Ovis aries: one gene and its partners. The protein of the gene in region 1 interacts with the protein of each later gene in a pairwise test. Links are inferred from orthologs where the notes say so. Each region holds a gene or a part of one and is shown on either strand. Other genes may lie near its edges. The genes, in order: FUNDC1, TUFM and YES1.

Region 1 (4,153 bases):
TGATGGCCAATTCTATACACCCAAGTTTCTCTAAAACATTTGATTGTCTTCTTTCCATCCTCAAAGGCATCGCTACCTTGCTTTCAGATCACACTAATGACCCTCTGGCTGATCTTCACACCTCCCATCTCACCTAGCAGCCACCCATTCTGCTGTCAGTTTTAGTTTTTTTTTAGGATCAAGAACATATAACTACCTACAGCTAAACATAATTTCCTCAGCTTCCCAATCAAGTCCTGAATTGGTCTGAATTGTTAACTAGCTAACATCTTATTAACCATTCCTCCTTAACATATGCCACAATAGGACATCAGTTTTATACTCTAAAAAAATTGCAAACGTTTATTACGCTGAATCTAAAGTCATTGCAACAAATCACCTGTATAATATTAGAGTCCTATTACACAGCTCCTGGATCAACACCTGGCTATAATCCAAACATATGTGTCCCTCAGTAGGGGAGACAGCAACAAAGACTCAGAAAAGGGAGCAAAGGAGCCAAGCAGCAACCAGGTCTTAACAGTATCCTGGGGACTGTGCTCCACAAGCATGTCTATCCTTTGCTTGAATGGTATGAGAAACTACAATCAATATACTAATGTCCTCTGTTCTGTCTCTAGGCTTTCCAAGCAAACTTCTTCCAATTATGGGGCTTCTCACCAAGTTTGGCCTACAAGGAGAAAACACACAATGATTTAATCCTACTGCTCAATTATTTTTTAGTCTCTTTCAAGATGGGGCTCTAGGCCTGGACTCACATTAACCAATCACCCAAGGCACCAGACTGTGAGCTTATTTAAGTAGAAGGCCAGGCCCTGAATTGTGGGCATCAAAGTATAACCAGCTTGAGAAGAATCATCTGAATAACCAGGGCTCTGACCAGGCAACTGCAGGCTTTTTTCATAAGCAGCACTAATAAGTACACATCATGAATAAATACTGTACCTGTTCATCACAGAATCTTCACAGTGAATGTCTCTACCATAAAATGGCATTTATTTTAAAAAGGCGTTAAAAAAAAAAAAGGCATAAAAGAGCACACCATTGTTCCAAGGTGCAAATAAAACACAAATTAAAACAAACACTTTATACTTATCGAGTTTAAATATGTAAATATTTAAATTAATGTAGGATGAATTTAACCTAGAATCTAAGAAGAAAAAATGATTACTCACAGGTTAAGCACACCCACTAGCTTCAGAAATTCCCTAGGGTCATGAACATTTTCAAAATAAAGGGTCAAACTTCTTTCTGACCCTTGTTATTTGGCTAATCTTTTGAGTCTAAGAATAACAGAATTAGATCTACAGTAGCAATTATATAATCACGTGACCTGAAATGTTAACTGGTGAGGTTAATACTATTAACCTCTCCCCCTTAATGTACTCCACAGTATTATCACTGAGTAATTCCAACAAAGACCCAATGTTCTACAACTCTCCTTCTTCAAAGTATTATCATAATTTAAATTGGCCCACAAAATTAACAGAACCATCTGTATCATAATCAGTAATTTTTACTGAGAATTTTACACTGCTTTGCACAGGGCTGATAACCCTGGAGATTAGTTTTACTGTGGGAGTTCTCACAGGGTTTTCAACCGAACAAGTACAAATTATTTACATATAATTAACTCTTCTCTTCTATATTTTTTCCTCTTTACCCACTGGTACTGAATCAGATCCACTACATCTGCTAAATCTGAGAAGGGGGGAAATATGCAAAAAAAAAAAAAAGGAAGGATGAGGAGGAGGATGATCACCAAAACCCAGCAGAATCTGAGTGTAGATTACACTAATCATATCACCGAGAAAAGTCTCAAGGTACAGCTCTTCTGGGATTAACACTGTAAAACCACTGACTGAGTATGTAGTTGGCCCAGATACAAAAGGGCAGCAGTCAGGCTCCCAGTGAAATTTAACAAAAAAAAAAAAAAAAAAAAAAAGGATGTTCTCACCAGCCACTCACTCCACCCATTACAATCTGGGTGGCTACCGAGTATTTTTCTACCATAGGTCCGGAACTGTGGCCAAACACGCGATTCCACCAGTGATGTCTTCTGGCATACTCAGTTAAATCCAACACTTCGTAGGAATCATCATCACTTTCATATTCTTGAAAGCAGAAAACGAAAGCAACACATTTTCAGTCAACTGAAAGTTAAAAATGTCGTGTACATTTTCATCTGTTAAAATTCATTGTTACATTGGCATACACCTAAAAACGCCCGGATGTAGACAGTTTCTTAAACCCAATCTCTGAGACTTAGGGCCTTGAGAGTAAAGGGCCTAGCATCCCCTTCCCAAAGAGCTAGACACAGGTCTGGGGGGGCGGGGCAACGTCAGTTACACAACTGAGCAGTTACACCCCTACCCCAAATCTCTGCAGGGGTGGCTCAGTTTCACAGCAGGGTCTCCCCCAATCTCGGTAGGTAGGTCAGTTTCACAGCATGAAGGGTCACCCCCAAATCTCAAGTTCAGGGTCAGTGCAGGGTCCATTTTCATCAGTGGGAGGAAAAGGGGGGTCTTCCACTGGCCGAACCGGTTAGAGGCCCAGCAAGAAGAAATGACTTCAACAGTAAGACTTAAACGTTAGAAGACGGATAGGAAGGGAGGTGAAGGTAAGACAGGTGGGGCCGTGTTGAGGGCGAGGGTCCAAGAGGGGGAGGGGAGGTCTAGTCTAAAAGAGGTGCTCAAAGAGGTTGCCTCAAGAAAACAGAGCCCCCAGGATCCCTGGGACAGAAGGAAGAGGCGAGCCTGAAGCAACGTCGAGAGCTGTGAGCTGCCTCTAACATACTACTTCGGGCCCCGGCCGCTCACCTTGGGGAGGGGGGTTCCGGGTCGCCATGATACCGCCGGCGGCCTGTACTGAGGCGGTCCCAACCCGCCCGCCTCTCGCCCCTACTTTAAAAACCGCTCTAGGCCCAGGTGGAAGTCTATGGTCTCTTTTTTATCTCCTCCTCCTTTTCCTCCAGGCGCACAGTCCTGTCCCCGCCCCCTCCTCTAAGCGCAGGGCCTTCCGCGCAAGCGCAGGGCAGAGGGGCGCGAGGAGGGGGGAGGGGGGAGACAGGTTGGATACCAGCCCGCAAGGATTTGTGGGAGTTGTAGTCAGTTGCCCTCCGCAACACTGGTTTCCCACCCCTCCCCCCCGAGAATTTCCAGAAGCTAACTTTTGATATTTTGTTTCAAAGGGCCTCACTGGAGGGGAGGGGGCGTCACATGGTGGTTAAACGAAAACCAGCTTGCTGTTTGTAACACGGTACCAGAAAGAGGCTTTTAAAAAGAGATAAGAGAAACCCTCTTTCGAACCACACTTTTCAAGCAGTCAAAGGCTCACTAACCGATGGAAAATTTTTCTAACGCGCTGCTGCTAGGAATTGGAACCTTTTCATCTTCTCCACGCGTTTCCTGCCAGGAACCTGAGGGAGGAAGAGGGAAGCCCAGAAAATGACCTGACACGAGTTACTCAAGAGGACATAATTTTTAAACATCATTTTTGTTATTTAAATCTGACAGAGGAACGAGGATAAGTTCTTCACCCAAGAAGCCTCACGGGATTCTGTTGAATGAGAAACCGTGTTGAAAACCAAGCGGCTGACTCAGGTTCACATAAACTGGCCCCGAAACTTGTTTTGAATTTACGTTGCACCCGCATTCGCTGTACATTTAGAACAACCCTATCAGTATTCTTATTCTGAGAATATGGAAATGAAGAAAAATAAGAAATCCTGGTAGAGGCTGCATTACTTAAAATATTAACTTACATAATTGTACTTGGCTTTTCAAGTCCTGGTGCTTTAAATGCAAGGGTTGATGTCTCTCAAGTTCCTCAGCTTGTGCACCTCAAAATACAATTCTAAGACTGGCTGGAAATATTAATCTTCACTTTGTGTGAGATTACTGTCGTGGGCCATGTGCGGATTGGAAAAGAATATCCAGCCAAGAGGCTGAATGAGAGATGAATAAAGTTTACTAGAGAGGGACACACGATTACAACACATGTCGGTTCAAGGGAGAGCCCAACCCGTTCGCAGGCTACCAGCCAATTTTTATGGTCTCAAGATAGAAAATTTCTACTAGAAGGATGGTATTAGGTTATTGGTTAGCATGCCATAGGGAGAAGGCAATGGCAAACCACTCCAGTACTCTTGCCT
Region 2 (4,233 bases), on another chromosome or scaffold:
ATCAGCCAGGCTTTCTTCACCAAGGAAAAGTCACCCCCACTGCCATACACATCATACCTTCCCTGGAGGTAAGATGATCCGACAGGCCATGTCCCAAGTCAGGGAGAACATGACAGGCATGAAGTGGGATACAAAAGGCTTGTGGCGGCCACCCTCTTCCTTGCTGAGGATGTACACCTGTGAGAGGGAGCAAGAACATGGGTGAAGCCGGGCCTGGCTGGAAGCACTGACCCTCCACAGTGCCTGCCCATCACCTAGAGCCCTCACCTGTGCCTCCACCTTCTGGTGGGGCTGGATGGAACCTGGCTTGGCCATGACCAGGCCACGTCTCAGGTCCTCCCGCTTCAAGCCTCGGACCAGGGCCCCAAGGTTGTCGCCCGCCTCTGCCCTATCCAGGCTCTTGTGGAACATCTCAATGCCTAAGAGAGGGGAGACACGCAGGAGAAGGGTGTGGGGGCAGAGGGAAGGCATGGGGGGGGTCTGTGGGGGGGAGATGTCACCCTAGCCTGGGTCCCAAGGCTGCCTCCTGTACCTGTCACCACAGTGCGAATATTCTTGCTGTGTCCCAGGAATTCACACTCGTCTCCTTTCTTCAAAATGCCACGTTCGAGCGTGCCTGTCACCACTGTGCCCCGGCCTGGGAGGGAACAGGACAGGGCATCAGGGACACCGGATGAAGCGGCAGAGAGGGGAAGGGAATGCAGTGAGCCAGGTCCTCACCAGGGATCGAGTACACTGACTCCACGGGCAGCAGGAAAGGCTTCTCCAGGTCCCGGGTGGGCACTGGGATGTATGTGTCCACAGCATCCAGTAGCTTCTGCACGGACTTCAGGCCTAGCTCAGGGTCACGTTGCTATGAGCGGGAAGTGACAGGACTCTGAAACTTCCATTCTGCTCTTCTTACTTGCCCAGAGCTAGGCCCTGGACTCAGAGCAGAGCTCTGGGTGCCCATCCAGCCCCCTCCCCAGCCTGACCCCGCCTTCACCTCAAGGGCACAGAGGGCAGAACCAACAATGATTGGAGTCTCCTCCCCTTTGTAGCCAAACTCAGTCAGCAGTTCCCTGATCTCCAGCTCCACCAGCTCCACCATCTCAGAGTCCTGCACAGCGTCCGCCTTATTCACATACACCACCACATGCTCGACACCAATCTGCAGGTGAGAAAGACACACAGACGGTGTCCTGAATGGCCCAACACCCGCCCGCCCCCCCTTCCACCCCTTCCCAGGCTCTTGAGTACCTGTCTGGCTAGCAGTAAGTGTTCTCGGGTCTGGGGCATGGGGCCATCATTGGCTGCCACCACCAGGATGCAGCCATCGAGGGGGGCAGTGCCTGTGATCATATTCTGGGGAGAAAGAGGAGAGGAAGTAGTGCAATTCCATGACCTCCTCCACTCCCCAGCCACCTAGCTAAGCACAGACACTTCTTTACCACCTGCTGTGACTGGCCAGGCCCACAGATCCAGGATCTCCAACCCATACATCTCAAATATCTTAACCTCCTCCCCACAATCCTAACGTTTTTCCTGAGGGGGGCAGTTCCCAAGCCCTGTCCCCAGCGGCTCTCTCACCTTAACGTAATCTGCATGACCGGGGCAGTCAGTGTGGGCATAGTGGCGGGCGGCTGTGCTATACTCCACATGAGCCGCATTGATTGTGATACCTCGGGCTCGCTCCTCTGGGGCGTTGTCAATCTCTTCGTACTTCTTAAACTTGGCCCCACCTCCCTCCGCTAAAACTAAGGGAAGGAAGGGAACACACTTTTCAGCAAGGCCCTTTCCACTTTAGAAAAGGACAGTCTAGGAAAAGCAACCTTCCAAGATACCCTCCTTCAACTCCTGGGACTAGTAACTCCAGATCAGAAAGAAAATAGAGCCTCAAGGGCTAGCCCTGTGACTTCTCTAGGCCAACAATTCTGCTTACAGGGCACCTTCCCAGGGCTGGAGGGAGGCCACTGGGGGGGTCCCCCAACTTATGCATCAAAAACTTCGTGTTCACGGGAAATCTGTCTTCTGCATCCTGCAGTGTACTGTCCGCCCAATTTCTGGCGCCTTGTGCCCTGGTAAGTCACTTCAGTCGTGTCCGACTCTGTGCGACCCTATGGACTGTAGCCTGCTAAAACTAAGGGAAGGAAGGGAACACACTTTTCAGCAAGGCCCTTTCCACTTTAGAAAAGGACAGTCTATGGACAGGCTCTTCTGTCCATGAGATTCTCCAGTCAAGAATACTGGAGTAGATTGCCATTCCTTTCTCCAGGGGATCTCCCCGACCCCAGGGATCGAACCGGCCTCTCTTACGCCTAACCTGCATTGGCGAGCGGGGTTTTTACCACTAGCGCCACCTGGGAAGCCACCTGGCGCCTTTGGGGCAGCACCAAACACCTAGGCAGTTCCTCCGCGGGCCCCGCCCCCTTGGCTCCAAGTCCCACCTGCAGAGCAGGCGTTGCTGGAAGCCCCCCAACCCAACCCCACTTACTTTTCGTGATGGCCGCGGTGAGGGTGGTCTTGCCATGGTCTACATGGCCGATGGTACCCACGTTCACATGGGGCTTGTCACGTACATAGGTCTTCTTGGCCTCCACAGCCAGGCCACGGCACAAGACGGGCAATGCCGGGGCCTTCAGCTGCCGCAAAAGACCCTGCAATAGTGGTGCTGGGCCGGCGCCGAGACCTGCCGGGGCAGATGCCTGGAGTCACGGCGCAGGTCTGAGCCCGGCCGCTCCCGACGACCCCCACGTGAACCCGGGGCGCCGTGGCCCTCCCCGCCCCCTCACCGCTGAAAAGGGGCGTCGCGCGCAGCAGGGTAGCGGCCGCCATTGTGGTCGTACTGGCGCCGTAGAGAGTACCGGGCACGGGGGCCGGCGCGTGCAGCGGGGAAAGGGCAATTGCGGATGGAAGTCGCTTCCGGCGGAAGTTAGGACCGAGAGGGCACGTCTGGGCCCCTCTAGCCTCCAATCTCTATGGCCCTGTGAACTTCCGGGCGCGCGACAGAACCCGTCCAGGAAAGTGCTGATGGTGGTAAGGTGGGGAAGCTTTCCACGGCGCCCTCCAACCTCGCGGGCTCAGGAGCCACGCAGTTCTCTCTGGTGGCGCCGGGAGGCGATGTGGAGCATCTCATAGCGCGCCTACGCCCCGGAGGCTCATGGGCGTTGTAGTTCCCAGGGCCGTGAGCTGTACTGGCACGTATCGTGGGAGGGCGAGGCCAGGTCCGGAGGGACGGTCCAGGCCTTCTTGAAGCAGAGGCAGCGGCCCCGGCGTGGATGACTCCGGAACGTCTTGGCCCCGAACCACTTGGAGTCCAGTCCGACCCGCCGCGCGGGTCTGACGACAGATCTGGCGGCCTTGTGTCGCAGCTGGAGGTAGGACCAGCCGCTGCGGCCAGGCTGAGGGAAGACTCCCGAGAACCTGTTGGGGGTGGGTCTCTAGTGTGACCCACCTCTCTTTTAAGCCTTTGTTTTCTTATCTGTGAAGTGGGAATAGTATCTACTTTACAGGAAGATCCTGACATCTAGCTCTGAGAGGAAATGAGCTGGGCAAGAGGCAGAAAAGGGGTCCAAAAGCCTCCGGGTCCTACAGTCTTTGAGACCCTCCCCTGGCTCAAATGCCCTGTGAGCCAGGGGGGACAGAGTTTCCTGTCCACCCCTGTCGCCCCTCAGCAGGCCAGAGTAATTCTCTGGATCGTCGGTCAACCCACCCGGTTTTACAGATGACCAGGTGAGAGACCAACTTCTTGTGCCTTTAAGGGCAGCCTGAGTCTGTCTTGTTCCCGCTGTGTCCCTGGCACCTACCACAGGGCGGGGCACTCAGTGAGTGCTCAATTAATGTCTGTTGACTGAATGAATGAGTGCAAGGATAGTAAATGACCTTTAACTTTCACATCCATCATCTCATCACCGTGGGATGATAATAGCAGCTGCTTAACCTTGATTAATGTTTCCAAAATTCATCAGCTCCTAAGACTCAGCTGATGGTGTCTGTTTCAAATAGATTCCTTAATTCCTCCCTTGGAGATTATGATTCAGTAGTATCTGGGTACAGACAAGAAAACTATATTTATTTTTAATACTCTTCTTAAACTCATAGGAGTTTGGGGGACTCAGAATTAGAGCTTTTCATGGTTCAGGCGTTGTGCTTCATGTTGCTTCTCATTCAGTATCACATTCAATGTTATACTGTGTGATAGGACCCCATTTTACTAGTGAGAAAACTGAGCATCACGGTAATTAAGGAACCCAA
Region 3 (3,638 bases), on another chromosome or scaffold:
GTATTGGAGTTTCAGCTTCAGCATCAGTCCTTCCAATGAATATTCAGGACTGATTTCCTTTAGGATGGACTGATTGGATCTCCTTGCTGTCCAAGGGACTCTCAATAGTCTTCTCCAACACCACAGTTCAAAAGCATCAGTTTTTTAGCGTTCAGCTTTCTTTATAGTCCAACTCTCACATCTGTACATGACTACTGGAAAAACCAAAGCTTTGACTAGATGGACCTTTGTTGGCAAAGTAATGTCTCTGCTTTTTAATATGCTATCTAGGTTGGTCATAATTTTTCTTCCAAGGAGCAAGCGTCTTTTAATTTCATGGCCGCAGTCATCATCTGCAATGATTTTGGAGCCCAAGAAAATAAAGTCTTCTCACTGTTTCCATTGTTTCCCCATCTATTTGCCATGAAGTGATAGGACCGGATGCCATGATCTTAGTTTTCTGAATGCTGAGCTTTAAGCCGACTTTTTCACTCTCCTCTTTCACTTTCATCAAGAGGCTCTTTAGTTCTTCTTCACTTTCTGCCATAAGGGTGATTTCATCTGCATATCTGAGGTTATTGATATTTCTTCCAGCAATCTTGATTCCAGCTTGTGCTTCATCCAGCCTGGCATTTCACATGATGTACTCTGCATATAAGTTAAATAAGCAGGGTGACAATATACAGCCTTGACGTACTCCTTTCCCGATTTGGAACCAGTCTGTTGTTCCATGTCCAGTTCTAACTGCTGCTTCTTGACCTGCATATAGATTTCTCAGAAGGCAGGTCAGGTGGTCTGGTATCCCCATTTCTTGAAGAATTTCCCACAGTTTGTTATGATCCACATGGTCAAAGGCTTTGGCATAGTCAATAAAGCAGAAATAGATGTTTTTCTGGAACTCTCATTTTTTTTTGATCATCCAACAGATGTTGGCAATTTGATCTCTGGTTCCTGTGCCTTTTCTAAAACTAGCTTGAACATCTGGAAATTCACAGTTCACATACTGTTGAAGCCTCGCTTGGAGAATTTTGAGCATTACTTTGCTAGCATGTGAGATGAGTACAATTGTATGGTAGTCTGAACATTCTTTGGCATTGCCTTTCTTTGGGACTGGAATGAAAACTGACCTTTTCCAGTCCTGAGGCCATTGTTGAATTTTCCAAATTTGCTGGCATATTGAGTGCAGCACTTTTACAGCATCATCTTTTAGGATTTGAAATAGCTCAACTGGAATTCCATCACCTCCACTAGCTTTGTTCGTAGTGATGCTTCCTAAAGTCCACTTGACTTTGCATTCCAGGATGTCTGGCTCTAGGTGAGTGATTACACCACTGTGGTTATCTGGGTCATGAAGATCTTTTTTGTATAGTTCTTCTGTGTATTCTTGCCACCTCTTCTTAATATCTTCTGCTTCTGTTATGTCCATACCATTTCTGTCCTTTATTGTGCCCATCTTTGCATGAAATGTTCCCTTGGTATCTCTAATTTTCTCGAAGAGATCTCTATAGTCTTTCCCATTCTATTGTTTTCCTCTATTTCTTTGCAGTGATCACTGAGGAAGGCTTTCTTCTCTCTCCTGCTGTTCTTTGGAACTCTCCTAAGAATGTCAGTTCTTAACCTCTAGCGTCTGTTTCTTTTGTGGGAAATATTTCCCCGTCAATGTGCCGCTTGTAGTTGGTGCTGTCACCACTAGGTGGAGGTGCCTCACTGACCAAGATGGACATCTGGAGCGCGATGACGCCATCAGAGGCTTTCACTATGGATTAGTGACTCATTAATACTGAAAAGAGGAGATAAAATTCAAGAGGGTAAAAAGCACGCCTGTCAGCAAGCATACTTGGTGACTTACTGGTCCCTCTTCCAATGCATCATCAGCAAAGGAGAAAGAGGGAAGAGTGACAAGCTTTCTCCTTTCCCTGCCCTAATCCTGTTACTGAAGATCCCACACCATGGGGTGTGGAGTTTGGAGAAAGACACCCTTCAGTTGGCAGTAGTGTAAAAAAGAAGTTTCTAGGAGTCCTCAGAGCACACTAAAACTCGATAAAACTAATTTCCTTAACTTTACCTGATTTTTTCATTTAGCACTGAAGACACAAATATTGTTCTGATTGCACTGTTTTAAATCAACTAGTGCAAATACTTTTTTTTCCTATTCTACTGCCTCTGGTCAAACGGAATCAAGGACTTTACTTTCAAAATAAATTCAGTGCCTTATTTTCCTTTTCAACTCTGTACTATCCTTCAGAATAACTGGGACTAATTACTAAGTATTCTGTTAACATATCAGATTTTCTCTTTTCATATGTCTACATAAAAATCTCCAATTAGAAAACACAATAAAAATCTGTATGCATAAAGAGAGAAATGACAAAATTTATTAACACGAATATCCCAGAGATACTGATGTACACATACCTTTTGACATAAATTCAGTGACAATGTAAATTGGCTCTTCAGAAACAACAGCATATAGTGGAACAAGTTTATCATGTCTTAGTTTTTTCATTATTTGAGCCTCTTGAAGAAAAGCTTCTGGCATCATTGTACCTGGCTTCAGTGTTTTGATTGCTACTTTTGTGGTTCCATTCCACGTTCCTAGAGAAACAACCCACATTTCACTATTTTAACCTATATATATTTTAAGAGATTTACAACAAACTTCAATGAGCAGCAGTAAGCTCACATATTTCAACATATCATAAATGATGGCCTTTTAATCTATGGGCAAACAATGAAAGAAAACAAAAGTTCAGGCTCCTTACCCATCCATACTTCACCAAAACATCCTTGTCCTAGTTTAACCTCTAGTCGCAAAGATTCTCGTGGGATTTCCCAAGCATCTTTTGCTAGACCTTGAGTCTGGGGTTTCACAGTTGGACACACAGTTGTTAACTTATGGCATAAACCATCGGCATGTTCTAGATAAATGAATAAACTATACTGTAAATGAATAATTTACAAAAACTGAGGTATATATACTTGTACCAGTGTTTTTAAAAGTTTATATCATAGGAAATAAAAACATGATGTTCTATCAGTTTTACTACAAAAGCACAAACACAAAAATGAAATTGCATAAAAGAAAACATACAAGGGAAACATTTTATTAAATACATTTTAAAGTTATTATTATTGAATACTTATATCCCAGCTATCATGCCAATTCAGCACTTCACAAATTCATATAAATAAAGGAATCTTAGAAAACTTAAGCAACTTTCTCAAGGCCACCCAGTAAACATGTGATGGAGATGAGTTTTAAACCCTATATCAGACTGCCTCCAAAGTTCTGCTTTTGATCACTGTACTTTATTTCTTCCCCAAAGAGAATGCTACCATTAACAGCTATTTCTAGAATCCACAAGTGTTAAGAAGCACAATAAAATCAAGCAAAAACTTCTTTAAAGGACTGACTTTCAAATAAAGGGAGACATAAAAACAGGAAACTCCAAATTGACAGTGGTTTGACTGACTTGTGAATCCTGTTTACACACATTGCGTTCCACTCAACAAGTAACCGCACACATCCACATTCTAACAAGTGCAATTACAACTGATGCTACTGCTGGTAACGTGCTGAGTCAATGTCAAGACCGATGATTGACTTGATAGACTCAATCTGCAGGTAGCTGTCACTGAAGAAGAAACTGTCATGGAAA

The links.
Region 2: the proteins of FUNDC1 (region 1) and TUFM interact in binary tests that used the Homo sapiens proteins (3 or more experiments, as listed by UniProt). The two-hybrid records come from large-scale screens. The link is inferred for Ovis aries from reciprocal best matches to the Homo sapiens genes FUNDC1 and TUFM.
Region 3: the proteins of FUNDC1 (region 1) and YES1 interact in binary tests that used the Homo sapiens proteins (3 or more experiments, as listed by UniProt). The two-hybrid records come from large-scale screens. The link is inferred for Ovis aries from reciprocal best matches to the Homo sapiens genes FUNDC1 and YES1.

Annotation. Positions count from the first base shown.
Region 1 is NC_056080.1:43,693,625-43,697,777, forward strand, and holds the start of FUNDC1 (FUN14 domain-containing protein 1), read right to left. Parts: upstream 2,870-4,153; 5' UTR 2,848-2,869; coding exon 2,820-2,847; intron 2,115-2,819; coding exon 1,958-2,114; intron 1-1,957. UniProt on the Homo sapiens protein: Integral mitochondrial outer-membrane protein that mediates the formation of mitochondria-associated endoplasmic reticulum membranes (MAMs).
Region 2 is NC_056077.1:26,479,434-26,483,666, reverse strand, and holds the start of TUFM (elongation factor Tu, mitochondrial), read right to left. Parts: upstream 2,887-4,233; 5' UTR 2,815-2,886; coding exon 2,772-2,814; intron 2,669-2,771; coding exon 2,474-2,668; intron 1,737-2,473; coding exon 1,570-1,736; intron 1,345-1,569; coding exon 1,240-1,344; intron 1,151-1,239; coding exon 986-1,150; intron 854-985; coding exon 721-853; intron 638-720; coding exon 533-637; intron 420-532; coding exon 268-419; intron 178-267; coding exon 58-177; intron 1-57. UniProt on the Homo sapiens protein: GTP hydrolase that promotes the GTP-dependent binding of aminoacyl-tRNA to the A-site of ribosomes during protein biosynthesis. Also plays a role in the regulation of autophagy and innate immunity.
Region 3 is NC_056076.1:36,052,574-36,056,211, forward strand, and holds part of YES1 (tyrosine-protein kinase Yes), read right to left. Parts: intron 2,898-3,638; coding exon 2,742-2,897; intron 2,575-2,741; coding exon 2,395-2,574; intron 1-2,394. UniProt on the Homo sapiens protein: Non-receptor protein tyrosine kinase that is involved in the regulation of cell growth and survival, apoptosis, cell-cell adhesion, cytoskeleton remodeling, and differentiation.